Linked DNA regions of Struthio camelus. The protein of the gene in region 4 purifies or fractionates together with the protein of the main gene of each other region. This does not show direct contact. Links are inferred from orthologs where the notes say so. Each region holds a gene or a part of one and is shown on either strand. Other genes may lie near its edges. The genes, in order: OBSL1, DUSP16, IQGAP1 and MAPK14.

Region 1 (7,026 bases), on a different chromosome or scaffold from region 4:
CATGACGTCCAGCTTCCGCGGCAACCTCTTCACGATCACCCCTGAGAAAAGGGCCAGGTGAGGGGTGGGGAGGGAGCAAGGGGCAGGAGAGGGGTAGAAGAAGTCTAGGAGGGGTAACAGCAGGCACGTGGAGGTGTGCGGGCAAAACAGTGGGAGGGCAGATGCAGGGGGCAGCAGGGAGCTGCCTGGCCTGGAGGGGGGAAGGTAGAGCTAGGGGAGCTGGGCCTGCCCCCCACCTCGGACGGAGACCTCAGCAACGCTGCGCCCCTTGTCCTTCATCTGGCAGAGGTAGATGCCGTCGTCGTCGGTGCGGGCGTCGCGGATGGTCAAGCGCCGCAGCACGCCGTGCTCCTCCATGACGTACTTGGGGCTGGGCTGGAGCTCCTTGTCCTCCAGGTACCAGGCGGTGGGAATGGTCTCCAGCGGCACATGGCACTCCAGCACGGCGTCCTCCCGCTCCTGCACCTCCACGTCCGCCAGCTGCACCTGGAAGCGCACGCGGTGCTCTGGAGCCAAGAGAGAGACGGGTGCTGAGGAGCGCACGGGGCCAGCACCCCCACCGCCACCACTCGGCCCCCTCCCCGTGCCCTATGCCAGCTCTCGCCGTCCTTTGGCCCTTTGCGCAAGGCTCTGCCAGCTTGAAAATAACACCAAACCCTGGGCCCCCCTGCCCCGCAGCCTCTCCTGGTCACTGGGGGCCAGTCCACAGCGCTGCTTGCCAGCAGTGGCCAAGCCCCCGCTCTCCGCCTTGACAAACGTCCCAGCTGGGACGCCTGCGCCTGCCCGGCTGCCAGCTCAGCTCAGCCCCGGGGACAGCATCGTCCCCGGCTTCCCCGGCTGTTCCTGGACACCACAGCAGACACCGCCACCGCCAGCCCGTCCCTCCAGGACGCTGGGGCATCCTCCCCCGGCCTCCGTCCGTGTCCTCCGGTCGGGCGAGGGCTCAGGCTGGATTTTCCCTGCCCTCGGCACAAGCCGGGCAGGTGTGGGCAGCACCCTGCCCTGCTCCCCACACGTGTCCCCGGCGAACACCCCCGGCGCTGGTCCGCACAGCCCCACGGGGTGGGAGAGGGCAGCGCGCTGCCCCTGGCCGCTATTTTGGGCCGCGGCAGCTGGGCGGGAGGCGTGCAGCAGGGTTGGAGCCAGACCCCCTCCCAGGAGGGGCCCTTCATGGTGCTGCAATGCCAAATGGCGCTGCAAAAGCCCCCGCTGCCTGTGACGGCCGCTGCCCCGGGGAGCGATTTCCCAGAGCGAGGGGAAACACGGCGCAGGTCAGCAAAGCCAGGCGATGCCGCCAGCACCTCAGCGGCGAGCTCCCGGGGATGCAGAAGCGTGCAGGGCAGCACGCCGCAGCAGGCGTCCGGGCAGGCGGCGCTGCGCGTGGGGTGGGTGCACGGCCGCCGGCGGGCTGGCAGCGGGGCAGCGCCAGGTGCTGCATCGCCCTCGGCGAGGGGCCGTCCTGGCATCCCCAGCTGGCAGCGGGGCTCCGTGCAGGCTTTGCCAGAGGGACGGGGCTGTCGCCAGCGCAGACGCTTGGTGCCGTGCCCTGCAAGGCTCCCAGCCAAAGCTGCTCTGCGCTTGCAGGGGAATTTGTCACCAGCATGTCGCGCCCCCTCCCTGCTCGCGGCCTGACACGCGCAGCCCCCTAGAAACATCACCCCTCTGCTTACAAGGAGAGGGGCATGGCGGGGGGACAAACACGGGAGCTACCAGCCCCTGGGGCAGCCCAGCAGCCCACGCCTGCCGCTGGCCCCGTCTCGACAGACCCCAGAGGCGCCCCGGCCCCCGCGCGCCCCCAGGCCTGCCCGAGCCCCTGGGAGGGGAGCCCAGCAGCGCTTGCTCAGCCCGCGTGCCCTGACATGCACGTGCACGCGCAGATGCGCCCCTGCTAGGCAAACAGCCCCAAAAGCACACCCGCAGCCCCCCGCAGCCCCGGCGGCCCGTGGGCCGGTACCTACCCTTCACCTGGAGCTGCACAGCGCTGAGGGTCTGGCCGGCCGTGTTGGAGGCGGTGCAGATGTACAGCCCCTGGTCCTGGGGCTTGCAGTACAGCACCTTGAGGATGAAGTAGCCCTCCCTGTCCTCGTAGACGAGGTGCCTGCGCCCCGGGGTGACGGGCTTCCCGTCCTTCTTCCAGACGATCTCCGGCTTGGGCTTGCCGGTCACGTAGCAGCGAAACTTGGCGTGCTTCCCCGCGCTCACGGCGAACGCCTTGGCGCCCGGCACGCCGGCAGGCACCTCACCGTTGGGCAGCGCCCAGCCCTCGGGCACGGTGCTCTGGACGGCGGCGTGCCGGCGGCGGTGCTGCTGCCGCTCTCCCGGCTGCTCCAGGCCGTTCCCGGGGGACCCGCGGGATCGCTCGTCTGGCAGCCCCGGCGCCAGGGGCTCGACCAGGAGCACGGCCGCAGCCAGGGCTTCCCGGGAGCCGCTCCGCGCCCGGCACACGTAGACCCCCCCGTCCGGGGGCCGAGCGCTGAACAGCTTCAGGAAGTGCCAGTCTTCAGGCTCCTTCCCCACCGAGAAATGACTGCTCTCAAAGAGGTCGGAGAGCTCGTGCCCATCCTTCTCCCAGTGCAGCACCGGGCAGGGCTGCCCTGACACCCTGCAGGTGAACATCACGTCCTCCCCCCGGCACACCCGCATCGACGAAGGCCGGACCAGGAAGACGGGTGGCTTGTTTTCATGGTCTCCCTCCTCCTGGGGCTCCCCGGCCTCCACTTTGAGTGTGGCAGCAGCATAGGTCTCGCCAACGTTGTTCTTGGCCTTGCAGACGTAGAGCCCGCTGTCCTCCGGGGTCACTCGGGAGACCAGCAGGCTGTAGACATTGCCCTTGGCCTCCACATGGAAGCGGCCTGACGGTTCGATCGGGGTCCTGTCCTTCTCCCAGAGGATGCTGGGGCGGGGGTCGCCCGCGATCTGGCACTTCAGGACGGCGTCAGCGCCGTTTTGCACCGTGAAAGTGCGCGGGTAGGCCAGGAACCTGGGTGCTCCTGCAAACCCGTCCATCCCGGCCTCCCCGGCCTCACAGCGGGCAGCTCAGCGGGACAGCAACGGGGATCATCAACCTGGAGCGATGCACGGACAGACCGGGGCTGGGGTGAGGCTCCAGCTACGGCCCTGGTGCGGGGCACCTCCGGGAGGCACCCCCTGCGCCCCGCGAGCACAGCAGGAGCACTGCATCTCCTCCCCTCGCTCCGAGCCCCCTGCCCCACTGGGCTGCAGGGACACGGGCTGCCCCAAGCCCTCCCGGGGGCGGCGGGGGCCTGAGCCAGGATGCCAGCGCCCCACGAACATGCTGTTTGCCTGACTTGGCGCTTCCCTGAATATGCTCCAGCCTCAGCCCAAACCAGCCATTTTTCTGCCCAACAGCCGTGGGAAAGGTGGCAGAAGACAGTGCTTCGTGCCCCAAGGTGCCTACAGCCCCGGCTGTATATGCGTACAGACAGGACCCCCAGCTCCAGGAGCACAGGGCCCCTGGCTGGATGGGGCACGGGAGCGAAGGCAGCTCCACGCGGGGTGCCGGGGACGGGAGATGGGGCAGGGGCTGGGGCCGAGGCAGGAAGGGCCCCAGCCCCGGCCGTCCCCACCCGCGGGGGCATTCCTGCGGTATCGGGTGGTGGCAGAGCCACATTCCTGCAGCATCTGGGCTGGCTCAGGCGCAGGTGCTGATAAGGGGCTGTCATGGCGGGGGGCGGGGGGGAATCCGGCCGGATCCGGGTGCTTTCTCCCCGGCTCAGCAGGACAGGGAAGCAGGGCTCCCAGCAGAGCTCCCTGCCTGGGGCAAAGAGGGGCTCCCCACGGAGAGGAGGTCCCTGCTCCAGAGCGTGGCTGCAAAGGCAGGATCCCCCACCCCAGCCATTAGGTATCAAAAGCCGTAACTCTAAATGAAATAACCAGGCGCTCAAGCCCCAGGGGTGCAGAGGGAACGCTGTAGGGACCGATCCTGCTGCCAGGCAGCCAAGACACCGACTCGACCCCCAGCCCCGCAGGTGACAATATCCATCATCACAGGCTGGAGAGCGGCAGCGTGGTCTCTCTGCCTGGCCTCTGCCCACACCGTCACCGGGGCTGGGGGCAGAGGTGTCTCTGCACTGCTCAGGCAGGGCAGGACATGGGGAGAGAGAAGCCAAGATACTGCCTGAGCGAAAGGGCAGGGGAGGGTGGGACGGGGCCGGGGTCCCCAAGAAGGAGGGACCAGGGCCAGATTCTCCTCCCAAACCTCTACCTGCAGGCAATGCATTCATTCAGTGAGGCATTCCCGGCCAGATGCTCCTCTAGTCCCACGGGCTGCCCCAACAGCAGCTCCCACAGACAGGCACAGCCCCGACGGCTTGGCCACTCTGCTACTCCCCTCCAGCTGCCCCCGTGTCCCCCCGATCCCCCTGCCCCACGCAGCCCCCACACCACAGTCCCCTGCCCCACACACGTACCTCACTCCTTCGCCTCTTCCCTGTGTCTCCCAGCACCGGCACCCAGCTCCTGCTGCCTCCCCCAGCTCTGCTCCTGGACGTCAGCATGCAGGGACCAAACGTTACAAATGCCTGCAGCTGCTGTCCCCAAAAATACCCTCTGATGACACATTGGGCTGATAAGACTGAGCCTGCTCCATTCAGTGCCTTGGCTGGGAAGGGCTGGCCTATGTATAGCGCCCCAGCAGGAGAGCGGCCCTGCCTGGAGTGGGGAGACAGTCCTTGACCTCCAGGGCTCCAGCGTTCGGCAGGCTCAATGGTGCCACGGTGTGGGGTCAGCCTGCCGCAGGAGAAAACACATTGTGTGGGACCCAGGCTGAACAAAGATGGGACATGCCACCCGGGACATGCTGCATGGGACACACCACATGGGAGGGGATATGCCACAGGGGATGCACTGCATGGGATGCCAGGCTGCAGCGAGATGGGACACACCATATGAGACACACTGCATGGGATGCCAGGCTGCAGCGGGATGGGATGTGCCACACAGGATGCACTGCATGGGACACTGGGCTGCTGCAGGAGTGGGCTGGCACAAAAGCTGCATCCCACCATGCAGACACGCAGGATTCCTGGAGACAAGACTCCTGGACACCAGACTCCTGTCACTGTCCCTGCAGGCAGCCGCAGGAAGAAGGGCAGGATGCACTGGGGGGGGGAGGGGGTCCCCTCACAGCCAGCTGCCATCAGGCAGCTCCAGCTCCCAGGAGCAAGTCTGCAGCCAGGCAACCCAAAGGGCACTGTGGCCTCTTTCACCTGGTGCTACTGTAGGGTCTCCAGCTGGCTCAGCTCTGCCTCACTTCTTCCTCCTCCAACTCCATCGCAGGCTGGCCCAGCCTTTCCCTGGCCACTGCCTGTCCCAGGCTGCACGGGGTCCTTTTCCCATCCCTCCTGCTTCGTATCACGGGACCTTGTCAGCCGCCTCCTGCCCACCACAGGCTGCCCTGGAGATGCCGCAGTTCCCCCTTCCCCAATCTGTCCTTCCTCGGGCTCCCTCCTCATGTCCCTGCTCCCCAACGACCTCGAGGTGACCAAGACATCTCCAGCACAAGCATGCCCAGCCTGCCACCCCTAAAGTCCCTCCCCACATCTGGGCCTCACAAGGTTCTGGACCACATTAGGTGTCTGCCCAGGTTTCATCACCCAGCACAGCCACCATCACCTCCCCCTGTGCCCCCAGAAGCCCTGAGCCCGCAGCTCCCTCACCCTGCTCCAGCATGGGGACACCCCACACCGGCAGCTGCCACGCTCGCCCCAGGGTGCCCCTCCATCCACACTGGCACAGCAAAGCCTTCACGGCAGCACGCTGCCTGCAGCCTGGCCTCCCCCAGCCCCGTGCACCCACTGCCCCGGCAGCATCACCCCCGCGCCCCCCTCCCTGGGCGCCTTCCCCCCCCCCCAGACCACACTGTCCTTGCAGTCCTTGCATTCCAGACGTCTCAGCGCTTTCGCTGCCCAGAGATAATATTCACGGCGAGCAGACGTTTGCGTCAGTGTCAGATACGTCTCAATGCCACCGTGCCCCAGGCGGCGCGCAGTGGGCAGACGGGCTGGGCTTGCAGGCAGGCACCCACGGCAGAGCCCCCCGAGCAGCCGGCCCACCGCACGCCCCGCGGCCATGCTGCTCCTCTTGCACCTGCTGCCAGCCATGCTGCCCCCCGCCGCCCTGGCCGCCTGCACCGGCGCTGGCGCCGACCGGCAGCTCATCCTGGCCAAGGTCCGGGCACGGGTGCTGGAGCATCTGAGCCCCCCTGCACCCCAGGAGGGGCCCCGGCAGGAGGGGAGGAAGATGCATCGGAGAGACGTCCTGGAGACCCCAGAAGTCCCACACGAGGAGCTGGAGGACACCTCCCAGGTGATCCTCTTCCCATCCACAGGTGAGAAAGCCCCTGTGAGGATGGAGAGGGCAGAAGAGCTAAGCTGGGCTGGTGGGTCAGGGCATCAAGCATGCAGCAGGACTATGATGCTGGTGTGGGACAGAGGAAGCAGGTAAGCCAGGCTGGGACGTAGGGGTGGCTGAAATGTGACGGAGAGCCATGAGGCGGAAGGGGAAGGCAGGCAGGGGTAGGCAGGTCAGCCCAGGACCCGGCAGGGAGAGGGGCAGAGGGCAGGTGAGGGGCACAAGAGGCAGGCCAGGGTGCTGACAGCTAGACAGGCTGGGGACTGCCTGAGCCAGCTGGGATGCAGAGAGACGGAGAGGGATGAGGAGAGGACAGGGCAGGATGCTAGGGGACAGGGCAGGACACTAAGGGACAGGGGCAGGATGGAAAGGGATGGGGGCAGGATGCTAGGGGACTGAGCAGCACTAACGGATCAGCCTAGGGTGCAGAGGGGCACAGCTGGCCTCCCGCCAGGGCTCAGCCTGCCCCGGCCCCAGGGAGCTGCTTGCTGCACAGCCCTGGCTGTCCCCCGGGCAGATCTTGCCGCTTGGCCGGGAGCGGGGGGCAGAACGGCCTCCCCACTGGGACAGCAACCCACGCTGGGCACACTGGGACCCCCTCTCCGCCCCACACCCCATGGGAGCCTCCAGCAAGCCTCTGCCAGCCTTCAGTCC
Region 2 (7,677 bases), on a different chromosome or scaffold from region 4:
AAACTGATTTTGTTCCATTAAATCTACTTAGGTAGCTAACAAAACCAGACCTACTGGAGTAGGACCTATTTATATATCTTTACATAACATGTTGGGTTTTAAAATGCTTGTTTGGCTTTCTGGACCTTTGCCCATGAATTAAACCATAGAGCATTTTTGCAGCTATCACCTCTAAATTAGCACAAGAACTGGCACCTTCTGTGCTTCTTTTACTTATTCGTTCATTTTAAAAGAGACATTAAAATTGAGTATTAACATATACTGAAGCACTAGTGCTTTAAACAAGCATAATAACCTGGGTTTACTACACCTCATACATTTTATAGATTCATTCCTAACGCTATTAATAAGCGTATTTAGTAAATGCAGGACTTGCTTTAGAATATCTTTGTATCTTCACTGATTAAAGCTAAAAATACATCTACAACCTCCCTGTTGCATATTTCCTCCAGATTCAAACAAAAAACCCAACCAACATAAACAACTGTGATTAATGCTTCAATTTCAAACGGGCAGCGAGATGAACACCATAAAAAGAAACTAAGACTTAATATTTTTCCACCTCCCCTCAAAACACTAGAGTCTAAATCAACTTCTGTCTGGTCAGTCGAGACTTTGTAAGTTCTGTCTCTACCAAACCACATGCTGCCAGGAATAGCATAAATCATAAAACAAGGAACACAAGATGATTTGGGGGTTTGGGATTTTTTTTTTTTAAATTACTGAAAGGCCCCCCAAAATTATCCTTACAAAGTGAAACAGTTAAAACTGCTTTTAGCTTTCAAAACGTGCACAGATGTATTTATTGGGTATACACATAATGTTTGAACAAAAAAAAGTTAGTCATAGGTCAGACAATAAAGCTTACTATGACTACACCCTTCACTTGAAGGAAAAGTGAGAGCTCAATTTCTGCTTTAGCCAACTGAAGAAAGAGAAGAAAGTGAATTTGCCTTGATTTTGTCTGCTACAAGCCAGCCTCCTACGGTCCCCTCCGACGTGCAACAAAACGCTTTCGGGAGGCTGAAAAAAAAAAAAAAATCCTACTATTGGTCAGGCTTTGCAAGAGGCACATCCCGTGCACCTTGTTCAGGACACACTGATGGGTAGCAGCATTTTCCTCGCCCCAGGGCTTTTACACACACACACACAGATCGGAAGGTAATCATCTGGCAGGCCGTGCTAGCGAAAGCCCCAGAACTACTGGTTTTCCAGATTACAGCACCAGGTTAACGTCTTCGCGAGGTGCTCTGCTCTCCGATTCCGCACCAGCCCTCCATTTTGTCAACCGACTCGATTTAAGCGCTTCCACCACCACCACCACCACCCCCCACCACCCCCCCTCACCCCAAGTTCACGGCAGGACCTGGAGGGGCCGGGGCCAGGCCATGCCCTGCGGGCCCGCCGCGCACCCCACCGCCTCGGCAGCCGACGCGCGCTCCCTGCCCGCCGGCCAGCGCCGCTCGCTCCCTTCTGAGGCACCAACCAGCGCGCGTCGCGCTGCAAATCCGCCGCCGCCGCCGCCGCCGCCGCCGCCGCCGCCCCCCTCCTCCTCCTCCTCCTCCTCCCCCCCCCCCAAAACATCCTTCCGCGGCTCGCTTCCAGCGCAAAAATTAAAGAAGGGGTCTGTCAGGCATCTCTTTTCAGCACCGGGCGGACTCCCCTGTGCCCGCGCGAAGGCAGCCCTGCTTTCTCCCCCCGCCTTTAAGACAAGGGGCAGGTGGACAGGTACTTTCCTAAAGGTAAATTTGGGGAGGAAGGAGGGGAAGAAGAGGCCAGGGCGCGGGGGCCTCCCCCCCCCCCAACCTCCCGGCGGCTCCCCCCTTCTCCTTACCCTATGGAGGGGGGGGGAAGGAGGAGGGAGGCAGCGGCAGCCGGAGCCGGCAGGGCCGGGGCCAGGCGCGACGACATGTGAGGCGCGGGCCGGCGGCTCGTCCTCGCCTCGCCTCCCCTCCGCTCCCCGCCCAGCCCGGCCCGGCCCGGCCCCCCCGCCTGCCCCCCGGCCGCCTGGGCCCCCCCGCCGGGGACACGGGGAGGCCGCTGCCCCCCACCTCCCCAAAACCCCGGTCCCGGCCCCCGAGGCGATACCACACAGCGGGTGACGGCAGCGGGGCAGGTCCCCGGCTCGCTTACTCCCCCCCCCCCCCGGGGCAAATGGGGGGGGGGGGTGTCCCCGGCGCCAGCTTCTCCCCTGCTTCTCCCTGCCCGACACTGACTGTTTTCACCTCCCCCCGCCCCGTCTCTAGTTTGTCCCCTTTGGTAGGAATAAAAGTTGCCACCAGCCTCTCTTCGCTGCTGCCAGAACCAACTTTGTCTCCTTCCAGCCGCTGGGAAAGCTCTTCTTTTTCCTTCTTCTTGAATAGTAATAATAATAATTTAAAAAAAAAACAAACTAAAAAACCATCTATTCTGGTCTTTTTAAGAGGGGGAAGCTTGAAGGTAGGAGGGGAGAGAAGCAGAAAAAGGAAACATTTGGAGGCTTTTTTTTTTCTCTCTCTCTCCTTCCCCCCTCCCCTCCGCGATGGCTTGAGAAATTTAAAAAGGGACAGTGATCCAGCGGGGGGGGGAAGAAGGACCGAAAAGCCAGGGAAAGGAAGAGAAAGTTGTTGGGTTTATTTTTTGTTCCCCTCCTAAAAAGCCTTAGGTTCCCTAAAGGAACCAAACAATCACTAATAAATGGTTAGAGCAAACAGACACAAGGAGGAGGCGGGGGGGGGGGAAGAGAAGAGTTTTGCTGGTCAGTAAACTTCAAGCTGCTGGGATGAGGTCATTGGTGTAAAAATAAAGCGATGGCGTCATTTGAAACCAATCCCAGTGAATGAACTCAGCCGGGGGGGGGGGGGGGGAGGTGGAGAGAGAGAGAGAAGGAGAAAGAGGAGGGAGGGGGGGGAGAGAGGATCCGAGCGAGGAGACAAGCGCGGCCCCGGCCCCGCCGGCTGGGGAGGCGGCAGCGGGGGCTCGGGCTACCACGCTGTCCCGGGGCCGGGGACAGGCGCTGCTCGCCCCCGCAGTCCCGTTTGAGTGCTCGGTTGCTGGGCCGGCCCCGGGGAGGAGCCACCCGAGGAGCCGCGGCGGCGGCGGCGGTGATGGCGGCCCTTCCCCCACCCGCCTTCGCGCCTCCTCGCGTCGCGTCGCGGCGGGTCGAGCTCGCCCTCGCCCTCCTGACGGGCCGCGCTTGCCCTCCTCCTCCTCCCTCCCTCGCCTCTCTGACGTCAACACCTCGCCGCCTGGCTTCTCCTTGACACCTCCTGCCTCACCGCGCGAGCCCCCTCGCCCACCCTGATGCCCAGTGGGGCGAAGGAGAGGGCCCTTCTGTCCCCAAAACGAGGGCCTGCGCCAGAAGGGAAGGAGGGTTTCGCCCCCTTCGCCGGCGCCCGTGCCCCCCATCCCTCGATGCGCTGGGGCCAGGCCTCCGCCACCCGCCCCGCGCTTCCCCCTCCGAGCGCGCGGGTGTGTGCCTGTGCGTACGCCGGGTGGCACGGAAAAGGGGTGACGCTGCTCAGCCGGCTTGTGGCTGGGCAGTAGGCGCTCCCGGTGGCTTCGTAGAAACTGTTGTCACCCTTCCAAAAGGAAGACGGAGATACGTGCGGTAGTCAAACCCTTAAGGCTTTGAATCCTTGGGCTGAGGCATGAGCTGATGCGCGCGGAGCGCTCCTTTGGCTGCACTGAAAGTTGAGGGCTTTCACCCTTTAAAGACCTTGTTAAATAATAACGGTAGTTTAAAAAGCAACTTGAAGAAAATGAAAATTATCTGAATAGTTAGATACACATAAACACAAGTGTTTTGTCTAATACATATTCATTCTGGCTAGTACAGACTTCAACAAAAAAGCTACACATACATACTTCAAGGATTTGATGGGACATATCTGCTCTTCCACAACCCTCTAAGTACTTCCAGACTAGTCTACAAAGCTTTTTTTTCTTTTGTTCCTCTCTCTCTCTCAAAGACACCCCTGATACCATCACAGATAATCACAGGTGCCATCACTAAGTAGTGTTTCCAGGTTCTGTTTGATATGCAGGAAGTCTTAAATGCCAGAATTCAAGAGCTCCATTTAGTCCTATCCTCTGTCTTTTGAATCCCCACGTGACAAACCCATAGAAGATGGCAGGCAGGAGAAAGAGTGTTAGACTTTCACTGCTGTCCCTTCAGATGAAGCGCCTTTGGAAAGACACATGACTGTTACCTGCAGTTTGTGTGCTGCACATTTTGGGAAGCAGGCAACTACAAAACAAATCATATGGAGGTTGTCCCTGTCCTGACAAAATTGACTGAAAACCACCTTGACAAAGGACCTGATTTTTAAACGCTGAGAGCTGTCTCTCATGAAGAAGCTTTGCTAGCACTTGTAACGGAACAGTAGCTTCCTCTGCAAGGGAGCGTGCATAATATATGGTAGCATAGTAGAGAGAAGTCTGAACTCCTTACAACACTTGGACCACAGAGTGACCAAAAGCAGTGAAGAAACTGTGGCAAAGTAATTTACAAAAGTACATTTACTATTTTGCATGTGTGTTTCTTGTAGTAGCTAAAGAGCAGTTTTGCCTTTTTGCCTTCATTACCAGTGGCCCTAAAAATATGTACTGCGACCCCCAAATACCCACGATACTGGAAGTCAGCACTGACCCATTTCTATGAAGGGGTACAGAGAGTGTGCCAAAGAAACTCAAGGAGAGAGCCAGTGCTACAGCTTATTTAGACCAGAAAAGTGCAAGAACAAATAGTTCCAGCATATTGTCCTCCCAAACGGAAGTGGGGCACAGCAGAAAGGGATACGTGTTGAAGAGGAAAGATACTTGAATTCTCTCTTTCCTTTTATCAGCAGGACCTGTTAACATGTTATGCAAGCGCTCTTTTTTTTTTTTTCCCTAATTGAGAGACTAAAAGAGTTTCCTCATTGTAAAAGTGTAAGAATAATAAGTACTTCTGGCCTTTTGGAATGTTTTTAATTTTTAACTGAAAAAGGATACACACACACACACACACACAAAAAAAAACCAACTAGGAGAGCAAATTAAAGTTTCTCCAATATCGAGTCAGGATTTTTTTCCTCATGTTATAAAGGGCGCAACTCAAACACGTTTGTGTCACAGTAACTCCTGCAGACTGAAGTTATTACTGGGAATAACTTTTTATTTTTAGTTGAGTTTGAGATGAAAGATGGATTTTGAGGGGTACGGTATGTTGTAACTGTGCCAGAAAGAGTATACTGTTTACAACAGGAAGGCTAACCCAAAGACACAAACAGAAGTCGTTTTAAGGGCTCAAACCAAAGAGCATCTGACCTTCATTAAGGTTAAAGGCAATGTGCTTTACCTTCTCTTTGCAAAGGGCTAAGAGTGCACATGTTGGCAGTTAACATGCTTCAACTGGCAGGTGGTCATTCGTGAAGGAGCAGTAATTTGTTTGCATGTCAGAGTCTAACTTCAGCCTAATTTTTTTTCGTGAAAGCCTTCCTTTCTCCTGTACCACTTGCACAGCAGGCTCCTGAGAATGGTTTGCGCTGCACTCCCAAACCAGAGATGGAGTCAGGCCATAGTTTTGTAAACACTTTAACCCAAGAAGCACCTGAATCATCTAGGAGAAAAACAGCCTGGCCTTGCCTGTGTCCCTGACTGCTAAGCTTCCCTCGCCAGCTGTTTAAAGATCTGACTATGTGAAATATGTTTTGCTAAATTTCTGGCAATGGACTTTTTTTTGGCTTTAGCACATAGCACTCACTGCCCCTTTGTGGCAAAGCAGTATTGAAGGAGTTACTGTCTTGTGCCTACTTATCAAGCTCACGAGATTAGAAGTCCTGAAGTGCCTACGTGGGGTAAAAGAAGGGCAAAAGACATTATGGTGGCTAACAGGCTATACAACAGTGTCTGAACTTTGACACGCCCTTGTGTCCTACAAGTTCACGTTCTGCTTCTGACGGAAGGAGTGACTGTGTGTTACTACTGCCTACCCCCGTTGCTGGAGAGAGCAATAGGTACTTTTGAGAACTACAGGTTATACGGCTTGTTTGCAAAGGTTTCTGCTTATTTATTTGTAAAAGCTAGCATGCCTGCCTTTTTGCTCCTTTTCCACCTAAAGGATTTTGTGGCGCTTCACTAGGTTAATCAGTTAGCAGTGATTAAATAGGGGAAAGATGAAAGACAGTTTGAACGACGTCATCAAGTTTTATGCACAGCAGGTTTTCCAAAGGAACCTATTGTGAAATAAGCGGGAACCGAGCTTAAAACACAGAGTTTACCATGCTTTAAAATCCCTGCATTGGTACTCACTTTCTCCACAGGCTAAAGTTGGGTTGCTGAAGGGGTTACCATTTCCAGCCAGCTCCCCAGTCACTGTCACAGCTGTCTTCTGCCAAAGGTTACTGCCTTTCCTACCTACCTACGAGCTACTCATGCAATTGCTCCCAAACTTGTTTCAGTCAAAGCCAACTGGAATAGCTTAAGCAGTTTAAATAGTAGATATCTGCTAAACTGGCTTCTTTTTGGCTGAAACCGATTAGGGGAAACCCAAATCAGCAAATGGGAAGTGAAGCGATGACCATTTCACAGACAGTTTCAGAGGTAGTTTAGCCTAATCGACTTTCAGAGCAGACTGCTATACCAGGCACAGCTGCTATAGACAGCTCTTTAGGGTATTTAAAATTGGAAGGGTTGCTGAGATACCTAACATGAAGTGTTTGTGGCATTCTGAGATACTACTAGCTTTGTTACTTGGAGCAGTGCAGGTTTGTGGGGGAGCAGCAATGGGAACCTTCCCTCCCCTCTTCCATTAGGATAATTGAAACAGGTAGAAATAGAAGATGTAGGACTGAGGGTGGGGAAAGAGCAGAAGAGAGAAAAAAGTTAGCAGATAAGGGTAGCTGAGAGATCCCAGAGCTCAGCCTAGAGAGAAAGGATTTCAGTAGGGTGAACAATACAGGCATCAGAGATGTAGGGTGGATAGTAGCAATGCTGGGGGGAAGAGAGGGTTTGAGAACAACTCGTATCTCCCCATTCTTCCTTTCAGTGCAGGCATTGGATCTCGGGAAGCTCTCTGGAAAATACTCAGATATGACTATTGTGTCGCTGCAAGTAGTTTTCATGCTTCTACTGCTCTCCTGAAGCTTCTCTGGGACTGCCAGATTCATAGCATATCAAAGAAGCTGGAGCTGGTGTGCAAGTGGAGGTCTAGGAAAAATGCAGATGTGTGTTTTTGAACTGCGAGGAAAAGTAGGACCAAGCAGGGCAATATTTTTGCTCTGTGGGATGATGGAGGAAGTATCAGAGGATTTAGAGCAGTAGAAGAGAAGTCAGCAATTGTAGGGAGAAATATAGAAACAGGAGCAGTAGGGAATATAGGGAAGAAGGAAGGAGAGTTATCAGCGTCAACTCTCTGCTTCCCTGTATCAGAAATCCCTTATCCATTAGTCAGTAAGAACTTACATGATCACGATGTTTGAACACCTTCTACCTTCATAAGCCTTCTGTGGGGCAGAGAAGTATGGATAAAAGACTGAGTTGCTGAGCTAAAGTAATTTATTCAAGGTAGTACAGCAAGGCAGTGGAGGAGAGAGCTGAATCAAGTTCTCCTAAATTCCAGATCTAACCACTAGCTCACCCGTTTTCCTCTCATCTTTCATCTTGCAAAAGAAAGGGTAACAGTTTTTACTTACCCAAGAAGTCCCATTTAGTAAA
Region 3 (7,393 bases), on a different chromosome or scaffold from region 4:
CAAGCGCACAGCTTTCCAATTCAGGAAGTCTTTTCCAGTACAAAGCTTGCTGATGTTGCGCTGCTACAGGAAGAAAGGGGAGTGTTTTATGGTGGGAGCTCAGAGTGCCGAATGGCTCGCTTGCCTCCGGAGAGTGAGGGCTCCTCTGCCAGCCCAGCAGCCTCTGGCTGCATCCCAGCTCCGTGCCACGACTGTGGGCAGTACTTGGGCTCTGGGCTTTTCTGTCATGTTGCTTCCAGGCTTCCCTGTGGAGTACTGCAGACAGTGTGCATGCGTGTGCATGAGTGTGCATGCAGGGCTGCGTCCCAGGTGGCTGCTGGGCCGTGTGAAGTGAGGTCAGGATGCAAAAGCAAGTCTGGAAACAAATAGGATGGAGGAGACCCCATATCGTGAGCCAGACTCACCTGTCTTGCCTGGCTGGTCTGGCACTGCAGAAGCAAGTGGTATGGGGCTGGCCATGTCTTCCTCCCCCAAGTGGGCAGCCACTTCCTCTGCAGCTTTCCCAGAGCCTCTTGCAAAGTTCCCTGCCACAAGGATGGGAGGGCCAGGGCTGAGGGAGTGCAGTTTTGAAACAGCACTGCGTTTTTAGACCAGGGCAACAACTTGTCTCATTTGGCCACTACGTTTCTGATCTGGTGCAGCCACAGCCTGACATATGACCATATACAAAACAGTATCATCAGATATGTGAGGGGTAGGAGTCATAGAAATATTTTCAACTGACGCAATTGTGCCTGGATTCCTGCAGGCCAGTCTGGGCCCATTAACACGGAACATGTAGCTAAACTGGGTAATTAGAGAAGACAGCAAAAATGATTAGGGATCTAAACATTGTTACAGACCTAAATAAACCTATCCCGGACAAATGAGATCTAAAGGGAAAGGTCTCAATTGTCTATGAATACTTGAAGCGCAAAGAACAGTATTAAGGAATGACTGTTACGGATGAGACGAGTCAGGAGAATGAAGGATGTTGTGTAGAGCAGCAAAAGACATCTGTTCTCTCAGCTTTCTGAGGGGTTTGTGTGTCATAGCATAAGTCATGGCTTGGAATTCTTAGTGCTAAATGAGACCTAGAGCAGATCCTACTCCATCTTCAGCTTTTACTTTGGCAGAAATGAGGACATACATGAGAAATTCTTCAGTGGAACATTGTTTGAATATGCTATTATCTCCCAATCTTTTTTGGACTAAGAGACCATGTGGTTTTTTGGAAAGGCAGGCAGGATCGTTGTATATACTATAATGTTTGGAGGGGGATACAAGAGATGAGAGATTCCCTGTTTCAGTGGCAGCCTGCAGCTAGGTTATTTTGAAGCGACTGCAGAATGGCAGCTTCAGAGTCTTCAGGTAATCTGTGTTTTTTTCCCCCCAGCACCATTCACAGAAATAATCTTTCTCGATAAAGAAAGTGGCTAGTAAATACTTGCAAAGGAACAGATAACAGTAGTTTAAATAAAGGACTGAGTTTTGCAGCTCTCGTTTCCTCAGGGAAGCCTGGTGATTAGGCAGTCAAGGCCAAATAAAGAATAATTAAATTTTGTACAGAATTGATAACTAAAACGGTGAAACTAGAGAAAAATAGGTACCTCTGTAGTGCTTTGTGAAAGGCTATCTAGCTAGCGGCTATTCAACATTAAAAAAAAAAAAAGAAGACAAGAAACAGGAGAGGCAATAAATTAAACACAAAGATACACAAACCCTAACAAACAGCAGTTAGTAGAGACAGTAACAAAGACCAGAAATCTTAGAGACAATGATCGGTGGGGCCATTACAGGAGCGATTCAAGTATAACCTTGAAGAGGTTCAGCCAGAAACTTTGAAACTGCAAATGTGTGATAATCTTGTTTTATTCTTGTCAGAATGGGTCTTATAGACAAGACCAAGTTTATGATTTTTTTTTTCACTAGGATTATGGAGATGTGCAAAAATTATTCTGGGATTTTAGGGGAACAAAACCAGTTCTGCACTCCACAGTCTATATAGAAACATTGTTTAAAATGTCTTCTCGTTGTATAACTGCAGAGTGGCCACATATGAAGTAATATAAATAAATATTAATATTAGAATTATAACTGTTACCAAACATTTTGACTAAGAGCTGAGGGGTGTCATGGTCTTACAAAATTGTTGCCATCACTTATTATTATTACTATCATCATTATAGCCCATTACTTACATTCATTAGTGTCTCTTTCAACAATACTTAATGGGAAAATTTGTTCTTCCTCAGGATCACTGCCTGCATGTTTCTTCATAAAAAAAAACCCACCAACAACAAAAACTCCCAGCCTCACTGAATCAAATCACAGGCCTCTTTAGTCCAGGGTCCTGTGTCTGATATTGATCTGTTGAGAATACGGACAGATAGAGAGCACAAATAAGGCATGCGTGGAAAGAGGTCCCTTCTTACTCCGCCATCCAGTGACGTATGATCTTCCCAAGCTTTCATCTAGACCAGTTTGTTTAGTAGCCTTTGATGAACCTCTGTGCATTTGTCTAACTCCTTTTCTTCTGGTCTTCAAAATAATGTCATACTGATTTCTATAGTGTTATACTTTGTAAAAAGGCATTTCCTTTAGTTTGGATTAAAAGTGCTTTATGGTTAAATTTGGGATTAACGTGTGTTTTGTCAGAAGGAATGAAAACATGTTGCCTAGTCTCCTTCTCATGTTCTGTGCATCTCTTTCAAGCCCCTTTTCTCTCCTCACAGGTCTCTCTCAGTGTCCTAGCTAGTTATCCTCTTCTGACAGGAAAGCCCTTCTGTAGTTCTGATCCTCATTGTTGCCTTTCTCTGTACCTATTTTTGTTCGCCTATATTATTTTTTAAGGGGGGATGACCAAAAGTGAGGTATATTTCAAATTGGGCACATCTCTATTCAAGATAAGTGTCTCAGTCAGGATTCAGGATGCACTGGCTAAATGAAGTTTCCTGCTTTGTACTACTGCATTTCTTTCCTAATACTATGGAGTAAGGCTTGCAGAGAGAATGACTGTCTTTTAGGAGACCAACTGATATAAGTGGTCAGGCAAGTCATTTCACCTCATGAATATCCTTAAACTATCTTAGCTGCAAGATACTACTATTCATAATTTCCAAAATTCTCTTTGCCTTTGGACCATTGCTCAGCACTGAGCTGAAGTTTTCAGCTCCAGGATCTCCCACCTGAGCTGTAATGGGTAAATTAGAACCTGTCGTTGTATATGCGTGTTAGTATTGTTTTTCCGATGTTCACTGTGTTGCGTTAACATTGATTTGTATCTGTTGTTTTAAGGACAAATTAATATTGTGAGATACCACATATTCTCCATCTCTGTGAGCTGTTGGTCAGTCACGTACTTCAGCAGGTCCACCAGCGCCAACAGACCGAATCTGGCTTGGCTGGAGAGGGAACGCTTCCTCCCGCTGCTTTACCTCCTCGCACTGCAAACCCGCCCTCGGCGGCGAGAGGAACTTGCAAACGGTTCCTTGCCGTTCAGTCTTCCCTCTCCCCCACAGTCCTATTCCCAGCCGCCCCCCTCCCTCCCTTCCTTTACTGAGCCATATAGTCCATTTTGAAGCTGATTAGGAATGATCTTTCATGAAGAAGTCCTCCCACGAGTCTCCAAAATCCAACTACCATTAACAGTTCCATTTATATCAGTATACGGGAGCACACTTTTTCTAACACAGAGCACAAACTTTCTAACATCAGACCTGTCTCCTTTTTTGCTGTTTTTCTACAGCGCCCAGCCCTGCGAAGCTCCAGTGCTGATGCCTGTGGGCAGCGCCGGGGGGGGGGGAGCGGGGCTGGGGGGCCGGGGGGTGGCGCCCCGCGCGTGGGCAGCGCCGGGGGGAGCAAGGCTGGGGGGGGGCGGCGCCCCGCGCGTGGGCAGCGCCGGGGGGGAGCAAGGCTGGGGGGGGGGCGGCGCCCCGCGCGTGGGCAGCGCCGGGGGGGAGCAAGGCTGGGGGGGGGCGGCGCCCCGCGCGTGGGCAGCGCCGGGGGGGAGCAAGGCTGGGGGGGGGCGGCGCCCCGCGCGTGGGCAGCGCCGGGGGGGGAGCAAGGCTGGGGGGGGCGGCGCCCCGCGCGTGGGCAGCGCCGGGGGGGAGCAAGGCTGGGGGGGGCGGCGCCCCGCGCGTGGGCAGCGCCGGGGGGGAGCGGGGCGGGCGGCGGCGCCCCGCGCGTGGGCAGCGGGACGGGGGGAGGGCGGCGCGCCGCGTCCGCCGGGCTGAGGGCAGCGGGACGGGGCCGAGCCGGGCGCCGGGTCCGGTCGGCCGCGGCGGGGACGCTGCCCGGGCGGCGCCCCAGACCGCGGCGCGGCGCGGCGCGGGGGGGTCGTGGCAGGGCAGCGCCTCGCTGCGGCCGCGGCGGAGGCGGCCGGGGCGCGGCCGGGGCGGGGGGAGCGGGGGGCGAGCGCGGAGCGGCGGCGGCGGCTCCTCCTCCGCCACACCCGGAGCGGCAGGAAGAGGAACCGCCGCGCCCGCAGCAGCTCCGGGCGGCCCAGCGCAGCGCCATGGCGGCGGCGGCGGAGGAGGTGGACGGGCTGGCCGTGTCCCGGCCCCACTACGGCTGTGAGTACCGAGAGGCGGCCGGGCTCGGCCGAGCCGGGCGGCCGCCGAGGAGCATCCTGCCTGGCGACGCCCCGCTCGTCCCCGCGCGGGGGCCGGGACGCCGCGGGCCCGGAGGGAGCGGCGGGGCCTCGTCCGCGGGCGACGCTGGGGCGCGGCGGGCGGCGCTGACCCCGGCTGCGGCGCCCCCGCCTGGCGGGGGGCGGCCGGGCCTCGCCCAAGATGTCCGCCGCGGTGGGCGCGGCGCGGCGGCCGGCCGGGGCCCTGCCCTGCCCTGCCCTGCCCTGCCCTGCCCTGCTCTTCCCGGCCTCACCGCCGGTTGCGGCGAAGGCACCCGGGCGCGTTGGAATTACGCTTTGGGGACGGAGGCTTTAGTTTAAGCCCCCGTTGGAGTTTTGTGCTACGCGTCAGAGTTTGTGCTGCGCTATCACGTCAAAAGTCAGTGAGGGCGGAGAAGTTGCAGCGCTGCGGTGAGGGGCGGCGGCGGCAGGGCCCGCCGGAAGCGCTGGCCGCCCCGCGCTGCTCGAGAAGGCAGCGCTGAGGCGGGGGCCGGGAGGGGAGAGGAATTCTCCCTGCTGGTAGCTGTTATCGTGGGATTTGTGACAGCTTTCAGCCCTTGTAACTTTGGGAGAGGCTGAAGCAGTAAGAGGCTTTTGGCATGCCCTGGACCGGTTCTCTAGGAGACCCGTGGCAGTCTGAAGCAAAATTTTGTTTGAGACCCAATACTGCAGTTGATACCTTGTCGTTACACTTATTTGATGAAGGCATTTTAGGTGTGAGCTAACCTTTGATTAACAGTAGTAAGAGACGTTTCCTATTCGTCAAACTACTCCTTGAAACCGAAGAACGTGCATTTTTTCCCCATAAGAGCATGGATGAGGTGTTTAGTTGTAAGAGTGGAAAGGACAGGCTGTATCACTGCGGCTTTGAACACAGTCTGAAAGATTTAGGCATACACCCCTCAATAGGTCCTCAGATCAATCCAAACATGATGCACAGGTTGTGGATCTGAACGCTTCCTCTCCAGGTGAGGATTATGAGTAGCATTGCCCTCTCTTTTAGAGATTGAGTATAACTATATAAAAGGGATTTTATGGTGTGATGATATATCGCTGTCCTCCTTTAATCTTTGATTACCAAAATCAGAAGGTAGGTGGAGAGACATGGTCACTGATGCACTTTTTAGGAAGAGAAAGGTAAAGCTAGAAGGAAATAAGAAGAGAAAGGGCTGTTTATAGGAAATTGGAAGATGCAAAAAATTGGATCAGAAGCAAATGGAGAAATCCAAAAGAAGGAAAATGACATTTATTTGGCAAGGGAGGAAGGGTAAGGAAATGGGATAGCTTCAGCTTTACTTTCTGTTCTGTTGTTTATTTGGTTCTTCGTTTTCTGAATCAAATAAAAGTGAGCTCCTGTGGGAAAGGTTGGATCTGGTTTTTGGTTTGTCTGTTCATTTGCATTCAATCCTCAAGAACCTGAGAATCTGTTTGACTGTTCGCAGCTGTCCTGGATAATGAGAGGTTAACAGCGGAGGAGATGGATGAAAGACGGCGCCAGAACGTGGCTTATGAATATCTTTGCCATCTGGAGGAAGCCAAGAGGTAAGAATAAGTGGGCTTGAAACTGCTGGTGTATTAAAAAGAGTTGTGATACTTGTTAAGTGGAATAATTTCATAGCAATTATTCTTGACTGTGTTTCTGAGCAGCTATATAGATTCATTTAAAAAAAAAAAAAAAAAGCCTACGAGGGCCTTTAGCGGCTACCTCTAGTCTATTTTTCTGCCTGACAGGGGCAAATGCAACTTTGTCTAGCTCGTTCCTGATGTGCTTATATAATATGTTCTTAAGGACTTCTGTGACAGGGACTCCATAGCTACGCCTTCAGCAATTGTTCCAGTGCTTCCGTATTCTTAACACTGGAAGGATCCTCCCTGCTATCCCACCTGTGTATGTCTTGCTGCGGTATTACGCCATTACTTATCAACAGAAACGGAGAACAGGTTATTCTCTTCACTGCAGCCTTTTACAAATCTGAATTGTTACAAAGTATTTCCTTGCTCTTTTCTCTTAGACTAAAAAAACCCAATTCTTTCATATGAGTTTCCCTGTGGGTCCTATTTAATAGATGAGGTCATTACTCCTGGATTGTCTTGACATCTCTCCACTTAATCCATGTCTTTCTGGAAGTGCACTGCCAAAACAGGAAGAAGTTTTCCAACTGGGGCATTAACATGCTGATGAGAGCATAAGGATTATTTCGTGTATCCTGCTAGGTATGCTGTTGTTCATGCGTTCCAGCATGGTATCTCGGTTTTCATAATGGCATGATGTGGTAGAGTTTTGCTGACTTGCCATCCTTTTCCTTGAAGGCATGCTGATGAAGTCTGTTCCCCATCCTATGTTTGTGCAGCCAATTACATTTTCCTAAGTGTTATTACCTTTTAATTGACCCTGTTGAATATTATTCTGTTTTTTCATGACCTTTTTGTTTAATGTGTTGAAATAATTTTGAATGTATTCCTGTCTTCCAGCATACATGTAGCCCCCTCCTTCTTCTGCGTTATCTCCACGTTTATAAAGTGTGAAAGCATGCTGTATTTCTTCATTCAGACAATTAATGAAAATACACTGTGAACATGAGGTGTGTGGGGGTAGATACCTGTATCTGCTATGTCAAGAGAAGGGAACTATTAAAAATGAATGTGTAAATTCTTATTGTTGCTAGTTTTAAATCTTTTGCAAACAAGTGATCTTACATGCTATAAGTGAAGAATAGGAGTGAAACAGATTAGTTTGTCTAATGTTTTCCTCCATGACAGTCATCTCTTCTCATGACTTAGCAC
Region 4 (7,340 bases):
GCTATACAGAAGGAGGGAGGTCTGACTCCCTGTCTTTCCCTGCGCGGTCCTGTCCCTTCTGGCTGCAGCAAGCTGTTGCAGCAAGCTCACCACATCTTGTGGAAGCTCACCCATGGCTAGCCTTGGTCTCAAGTCCTGCCACAGACCCAGAAAAACGCTTTATGTTTCAGTATACATTTTAGTTCTTGTGAACTGCTGAAAGAAAGCTCGGATAAATGACGAATCAGAGATTTTGTATTTGCTTTCTTATGAGGACTGTGCAGAGTAGACACAGCCATAACCATTGCCAGTCCACTCAGGATCCAAAGAAAGAAAACAGAGTATTCACAATTAAACAAAACTGAAAGGGAAACTGATGAAAGAGCTTCCTATTTTTGATTATATCTGCCTTGCTGGAAGAACATCAGGAATTCTCATATGCTGCCAAATGAGACTGCCTTCTGGCGTGCCTGCAGCCTGCAGGGCTCCTCTGGAAGAAGAGCTGCTTCTAACCCCAGTACAATGCCCAAAAGAGAATCTTGGCAGATAATGTCCCAGAATGGGAAAACCAGGCTGCTGAAGCATTAGTGCTATATCGGTGCGCTTGCCTCACCCCATTATTCTCAAAGAACACAGGAACACAGCTCCAAAATAAAGGAAAAGCACTTCAGTCAATCTCAGTCTTACCATTATGCAACTATCCATGTTCCCAACTAAGAAGGAACAGAAAATGGGTCTTGAAATGTAAGAAACAAAAGTAGCAAAAAACACAAACCAGAGAAAGCAGATGCAAGCTTGCGTATTGCAGCTGGGCAAAGGGAAGCGCTGGAGGGGACCGAAACTATTGGCAGTTTCTCTCTACAGTGCATCTATCCCTCGTGCTATCAGAGTCCTCAAGTGAACAGAAACTTTTGCAGACTGCAAATAGCCGCTTTCATAGTGCAGTGCTAAGCTGATCTCTCATGCTTCAGGTGTGAGTTGCCAGAACTGGGTGTTCTGCTTCAGTTATCAATCAACACACTTCAGCATTTTAATTGCCAGCAGTGGAAAGTTAGCGCCTTTTATTGCACTTGGGCTTGAAGAGTCTCCTTAGTTTCTTCGCATCTACCAAATTCCCTGCATATAACTCACCTGCATTGGAGCCGTCGGTGGACTCGAGGAATTTGTATTTCTCCACACAAGGTAGAGGAGAGGTTTCTTTCAAAGTAGGTCTGGAAGTGCTCCTCAGTTTGTATTTCTCTTTGGACCCTGTATACTGTTGGTTGTCTATCTGCCCTAACGATATCATCGTCTAGCTCCATATAGTCCTTCTGATCATGGACAGTCAAAACCGGAGGAACAGCAAATGCTGGAAGCCAAAATCAAAGAGCTTGTTCTTGGCACTAGGGCTAAAGGAAAGAAACAGGGTCATTGACTGAAGTCTCGCTTAAAAACCAAAACAATAAAAAGCATAATATGTGATCAGCCCATCCCAGCATAACTCCTGTGGAACCAATAGTCAACGCAGGGATAAGCAAGGCTTTGGAGACTGAAATCCATGAAGGACCTGCTGCTCTTAGGATCAGATAAATCAATCGCCAAATCACTCTCAGCAATACTGGGTCCTTCTGGAACCGGGCTTGTTCCAACTCTGTGGGAAGGACCAGCCTGGATCCCCTCCATTTTGTGATCCCAAAATCAGGCCTGTGTTTAGAAAACTGGATCCCGTCCCCCTCCGCAACCCAACTGCAGCTGGGGAACCAGTTCTAAATCTCCTCGTTTCTAGCCCTGGAGGAAAAAGATCTAGATTTGAATCATACAGGGAGCAGCTAAATCTGAGTTGCAGCATATAAACGCTGTGTAAAATCTATATTTGATACAGTTCAGGTTTTATAATCCTCAGAATGTCTGACTCCTATTCCTTAGTATTTTAATACCAGGAAGGAGATTTGAGTTCAATCTCTGTCACTCAGCGTAGGTAAGACGTGAGCTCCCTAAGGGAATACCGAGTAAGCAAAGGTCCACTGCAAGACAGGATCTGAGGCAAAGATCTTATACAGACAGCCGAGGCAAAAAAAAGATTCAAATCCAGAATTTCCAAGTGAAAGTACAGAGATTACACAAAAAGCAGGGTGATGACACATAGTAACATATAGGGAAAGAGGAAATATTAAAAGGCTGTGAGTTAGCAGTAGGACTCTATTCAGAATGTAGTCCAACTGTAGCAGAACTTGTAACAAAAAAAATGCATTGGGATTAAAGTTTCCTCTTCTTATTTCATTTCCTGAACTGCCAGGATCAGTGTACAGGCCTAGCGGTTTGCATCACTGAGCCATGCTACTTCTCATACAGCAACAGGGACTCTTGACACTGACTTTCCTGTCTTGTGAGACACAGCCACAGACGTGTACACACACCCCAGTCATTCTAAACCCCAGAAAGAGCTGGTGGTAGGAGAGTCTCAAACACACTCCATCATTAGGGCACAGTTCCTCCCTCTTCTTACAGAGAAGATAAATCTAGGTCTTCCACAGATAGATTTAAGAGCCATTTGTGTTCGTTTGATCTTCAGACCCAGTACAAGTTTTTAAAGCCTTACCTATTTTTGACATCTTTGAGCACAAGCACCTTTTCAAGATAAAATAACACAAGCAGCAAAACCAACAAGAGGCTAGAGTCTGCCGATGAAAGGCATTAAAAAGCCCAGCATGCCACAAAGTAAGTTACCTTTTAGACACAAGCAGTGGTCAAGTTCAGCTCTTGTTCACTCCTGTTATTTGGACTTCAACGGTGACTCATAGAGGCAGAGGACAGGGTCCCATTTTGTTAGGCTGTGTAGAGAACAAGAAGGTTTTTGACATGGGAAGCCGCCGTTTTAAAAGCAAGTTCCAGGCAGAACGTGCCTGTCTCGCACAGTATTGCGAACAAAACTCATCTTCCTCAAGCTTGAGATCCAACGGCAAAGGGCCTTATACTCAAATCCCTAACACTCTTTTATTTGCTGTGCAATTCTGTACTTACAACCTGGTGAAAACACGATGGGCTCCACTTCAAAACATGCTTAGCCTGCAGCACCTAGTGATTTCAATGTCTTAGGCGCACGCTTGAAAGTAGGCACGCACCCATCTTTGATAGCGTAAGGCAATATTACAGTACTCAGAAAATTCTCTATACGAATACAGAACTGGGAAATCTAGACAGAGATGGCTTTGTTCTCCCCATTACTGCTGGTGTAAAGCCCCTAGAAGGGGACAAAGTGCACTTGCGGGGACTACAAGGCAACCAAGACTGGCTTGCAGGACTCCAGAAGCACCAGACCTATGGGCAGCTCCAGAAAGGTCTCGATGGGCGCTTACTCCCCAGCGACCCTGCCATGTTAATCAGGGCCTGCAGAAATGCTGCGGGAAGTAAGTTTATTCATCGATTTTCCTTTTCTTTCTATTTCAAGCACGCCCTAAGGGCAACTGGGCAGCAAAGAGCGAAGGGGGGGTGTGCTCATGAAAACGCGAAGCAGGGGCAGCACTCGTGGAATTTTAGCTTTTTGGCAGCGGCCAAGGGTTATCCGGGGCCTCGGGCCCGGCCAGCCCGGTGCTGTGGGGGGCGGAGCCGGGGGGGCACCCAGGCCCCCCCCAGCACACCGCCCCCGCCCCGCCCCCTCGACGTCACCGGCGCCCTCCGCCAGGCCCCGCCCCCCTCCCGCTCTCGCGAGAAGACCCCCGCGCTGGTTCCATATTGGGTCATCTCTGCCCTGGGCGCCCCCAGCTCTCGCGAGAGCGGCCGTGCCGAGCGATTGGGCCCCAGCGTGCCGGGGAGGGGGGCGGCGGTCGCCTCAGCGCAGCCGGGGCTGTGCTGCGCTGCGCGGGGCGGAGCGGGCGGCCAGGCAGGGGGTGGGGGCAGTCGCCGTGGTGTCGCCGTCACCGTCCTACCTGCGACGGGCGTGTCCTTCTCCCCCCCCCCCCACACACCGCCACCACCGCCCCGTCTGTTGGCCCTGCGCCCCGCTGGCTGCCGGCGGGACGAGCCCCGCCGCGGCCCGCCTCACCTCACGGGGCTATCCCGCCGCTGGCGGCGCGGGGCGGGCGGCGAGGCAGCCGGGCGGCAGAGCAGGGCGAGGCGAGGACGGGGCGAGGGCACCAGGTGGGCGCGCGGCGGCTCCCAACGCCCGGGCGCGAGCGCCCCTCCCCTCCCTCCGCCGCCGCCGCCGCCGCCTTCCCCGCCCGTCAGCTCGGCGCGCGCGCCCGCTCCTTCCCCCTCAGCGCGGTGGTTGGGGGGGGGGGGGTCGGTGAACCGCCCGCGCGAGGCCTCTCGCCCCCCCCCCCCCCCCGTCGGGCGGGAGGGGGCAGCAGCGGCGCGAGGCGAGGGGGCGCGCGCGGGCGGGCGGGGCGGCGGCGGCCAACGGTCGGCGGCGTGAGGGGACGGCGGCGGCGGAGGAGAGGGCGTTGCTGCTGCACGGCTGCCTCCGCCCGCTGGAGAAGCGAGGCGGGGAGAGGGAAGAAGGAAGGAAGAAGCCGCTGCTGCTGCTGGAGGTGGCGGCGGCGGTGGTAGTGCTGCTGCTGCAACCGCGGGCAGAGCCTCCCCCTCCCGCCGGGCCGGGCGGGGCGGGCTCCGGAGCCGAGATGTCTCAGGAGCGGCCCAAGTTTTACCGACAGGAGCTGAACAAGACGGTCTGGGAGGTGCCCGAGCGCTACCAGAACCTCTCCCCGGTCGGCTCCGGGGCCTACGGTTCCGTCTGGTGAGTCCCGGGAGGGGGCAGAGCGTGGGTGTGCAGAGGGGGACGCGTCAGGCCGGTGCTTGGGCCCCTGCCCCGTCGTGCTGCGGCGCCGCGTGAGGGCGAGGAGGGCTGCCGTGCCGCCGCGGGGCTCTGCCGTGCCGGCTCCCCGCTGGCAGACCTGCCCCGGCTCGTAGGGACCCGCGGCAATAACGCGTGCAGGGCGCTCGTCGGCGAAAGCAAGCCCAGCGGAGGGGGTTTGCTTGGGGGTCCTTCTCCCCCGGCTCGGCTCAGCCTCCGCCAAGAAACACTCTTCTCCGTGGTTTCATAGCGATACTGCTGGGGAGGCACTGTCTTGTCTTTGGAATGCGTCGGATTGCACCACATGGCAGGTGGCACTAAAACATTTTTGCAGGGGGAGATAATCATGTCCCAGCACCCCCCACCCCAGCATGATCTCATATAGACATTTTTCACCGTGCCTTCTTCCAGTTACTAGGTAGGGGGTGGAAAAGGATGGAGGCTGGTAAGTCCCTGATAGCTGGCTTTGCAGAGCTGAGGGCCTGGCAGCTCTTGTTCCATTTTTTTTTTTTTTTTTTTTGCTGGACTGGAAGGATAGATCATCTATAAGGCAATTGCATTTTTAACTGAGATCTGCTGGTCGGCAGAGATGATGGCAGGAGGGCTATAAGGGCTATTTTTGCATCCCCGACTTGTAACAGCAGGTTTATGATTATCAGTGTTATTTTCCTGGTGATGGTAGATCAATGCGGGAAAACTTGTTCTCTTGCTGTAAAATGACAGAATTACTGCAATATGCGCTGCCTGGAAGAGCAAAGTCCTAGTATCAGGCTTGCAGAAACGTGGAGAATTTGGAAGTGAAGAGAGTTTAGTTTTTAATGCTTACCTACTACAAACAAAATGTATGACAGGTTACACATGCTAAATACAACAACGCTCCCTTCATTTGTAGTTCCTCTACTAAAGGATGTTGGCCCATTAAACCTAAGTTAATTGGGCTGCATTCATCACTTAAAGAAAATAAACTTGAATCAGTTTGACACCTAGACTTTAGCAATTGTATAATGGAGTCATATAAAAGTATTCATAAATTACTGTGTCCTTTTATTAAGAAATTTCTCTAATATGAATATTCTACTTTCTACTCTCTGTTCTTTTGCTCCATCAAACTATGATCAGAATTTTCTAATGCGGGCGCGTAATGCTTTGCTGCTGTATTTGAGCAGACATGCATATTTTTTCTTTAACATAATGTACAAATTGATATCAATATCATTTATGTATCATATTATGAATACCATAAAGAGGCATGCATACTGAACTGTACTAATAAAGAGTTGTTTTGCATGTGCTGCGGTTTTAAAGAAATAGAATTCTGTGCTGTTTTTAATATAGTAAGTTTAAGATAACAATGGTTTATAAAATTGCCAGTAAGTTCTGTTTAAATAACGCGTATTCTTAAAATTGTTATTCCCCAAGGGTTTAAACACATTTCATAAAAGGCAAAGGTTAAACCATTCTAGTAGCAAGATTAACTGAACGTACTCACTGAGTTTTTTATAGTAGAAAGATTTAGTTCTGTTGAAGAAGGGCCTGACTGCCCTAGTTGATAGATACCCCTTTAACTGCTCAGAGTTTCATTACTCACGGAAAAATAATAGGAAGTTAATTTGCTGAATGCCTTGTCCATTGTATTTTTAAGGTTTACCCAACACAATCTAACCCCTTCCTTTTGTCTTTTCCCCCTCCCCACAATCTCCATTGTGCTTGTAATACTTCCAATGTTTGTTTTCACAACCAATAACTGAAGAGTTTGCATCATGAATTTCCTGTTTTGTTGTGTCAAAACTTTCAAAGATTGTGCAACTGCATGCAGGCCAGATGAAACAATTTTTCATTGGAAGCAATTTCAGACATGTGGCACATTGAGTCTTAATACTGTCCATGTTGATGTTTTTCTCCTAAAAATACATATTTCAGAAAAGATGCGGTTTGGAAAGGCTAGTAATATAGAAAGTATGTCCGGATTAAAATAAAAATGGCATATATAATTTTCTTTTATCTGTAATATTGTTAAACTGCAAATGGTGATGCATGATATTTATGATATTCCTAAGACGCCTTGTTGCATTCTCTGTCCTTTTAGAGATTTTTCTCTTTCTTCCTCTTCCCCCTCCTTTTCCAGGAAAAAGTTATCTAGTTTCATTTGAGACTTTTTGTTGGGAGCACATGTATGCTGGGATAGTAAATTGCAGCGTTTTAGCCACCCCTAAACTGGATGGTTAAACATACGTCCCGGGATGTCTACTGCGTTATTGTGTTAGAATATAATAGGATGTTCTGTTGTTTATTTACCTACCAAGGTGAAAGAGTTAAAAGTGAGAAATTTCTGGAGAGTAGGGGGAAAAAGTTAATAAATAAATAATAGAGCCAGGAAATAAATCATTTAGACTACGGCGCTGTCTGCTGTAAGCTACTTTAAATGTTTAGTTTAAGTATGGCTTAGAGCACCTGTAGATAAGAACCTGACTTTATTTTGAAGTCAGTGGAGAGCGAGAGAGAGGGGCGTTTTCTTCAGGCAACTTAAGGCACCCAAGTCACATGCTTAAAGTCAGAGCAAATATTCCAATATTTTCTGAAGTGTTGTGTGCAG

The links.
Region 1: the proteins of MAPK14 (region 4) and OBSL1 purify together in Homo sapiens (affinity purification with mass spectrometry; 6 studies listed by BioGRID and IntAct, counting the BioPlex papers as one, with this or other methods). This does not show direct contact. The link is inferred for Struthio camelus from reciprocal best matches to the Homo sapiens genes MAPK14 and OBSL1.
Region 2: the proteins of MAPK14 (region 4) and DUSP16 purify together in Homo sapiens (affinity purification with mass spectrometry; 7 studies listed by BioGRID and IntAct, counting the BioPlex papers as one, with this or other methods). This does not show direct contact. The link is inferred for Struthio camelus from reciprocal best matches to the Homo sapiens genes MAPK14 and DUSP16.
Region 3: the proteins of MAPK14 (region 4) and IQGAP1 purify together in Homo sapiens (affinity purification with mass spectrometry; 3 studies listed by BioGRID and IntAct, counting the BioPlex papers as one, with this or other methods). This does not show direct contact. The link is inferred for Struthio camelus from reciprocal best matches to the Homo sapiens genes MAPK14 and IQGAP1.

The regions. Positions count from the first base shown.
Region 1 is NC_090947.1:27,737,581-27,744,606, reverse strand, and holds the start of OBSL1 (obscurin-like protein 1), read right to left. Parts: upstream 3,007-7,026; coding exon 1,959-3,006; intron 507-1,958; coding exon 237-506; intron 42-236; coding exon 1-41. Other genes in the region: INHA (inhibin alpha chain), read left to right, coding at 5,983-6,349. UniProt on the Homo sapiens protein: Core component of the 3M complex, a complex required to regulate microtubule dynamics and genome integrity. It is unclear how the 3M complex regulates microtubules, it could act by controlling the level of a microtubule stabilizer.
Region 2 is NC_090942.1:81,362,744-81,370,420, forward strand, and holds the start of DUSP16 (dual specificity protein phosphatase 16), read right to left. Parts: upstream 3,014-7,677; 5' UTR 2,284-3,013; intron 2,214-2,283; exon of another isoform or gene 2,089-2,213; intron 1,952-2,088; exon of another isoform or gene 1,835-1,951; intron 1,476-1,834; exon of another isoform or gene 1,348-1,475; intron 1,024-1,347; 5' UTR 954-1,023; intron 1-953. UniProt on the Homo sapiens protein: Dual specificity protein phosphatase involved in the inactivation of MAP kinases. Dephosphorylates MAPK10 bound to ARRB2.
Region 3 is NC_090953.1:208,596-215,988, reverse strand, and holds the start of IQGAP1 (ras GTPase-activating-like protein IQGAP1), read left to right. Parts: upstream 1-4,385; 5' UTR 4,386-4,495; coding exon 4,496-4,553; intron 4,554-6,051; coding exon 6,052-6,151; intron 6,152-7,393. UniProt on the Homo sapiens protein: Plays a crucial role in regulating the dynamics and assembly of the actin cytoskeleton.
Region 4 is NC_090965.1:4,986,649-4,993,988, reverse strand, and holds the start of MAPK14 (mitogen-activated protein kinase 14), read left to right. Parts: upstream 1-4,330; 5' UTR 4,331-4,574; coding exon 4,575-4,690; intron 4,691-7,340. Other genes in the region: SLC26A8 (testis anion transporter 1), read right to left, coding at 1,111-1,280. UniProt on the Homo sapiens protein: Serine/threonine kinase which acts as an essential component of the MAP kinase signal transduction pathway.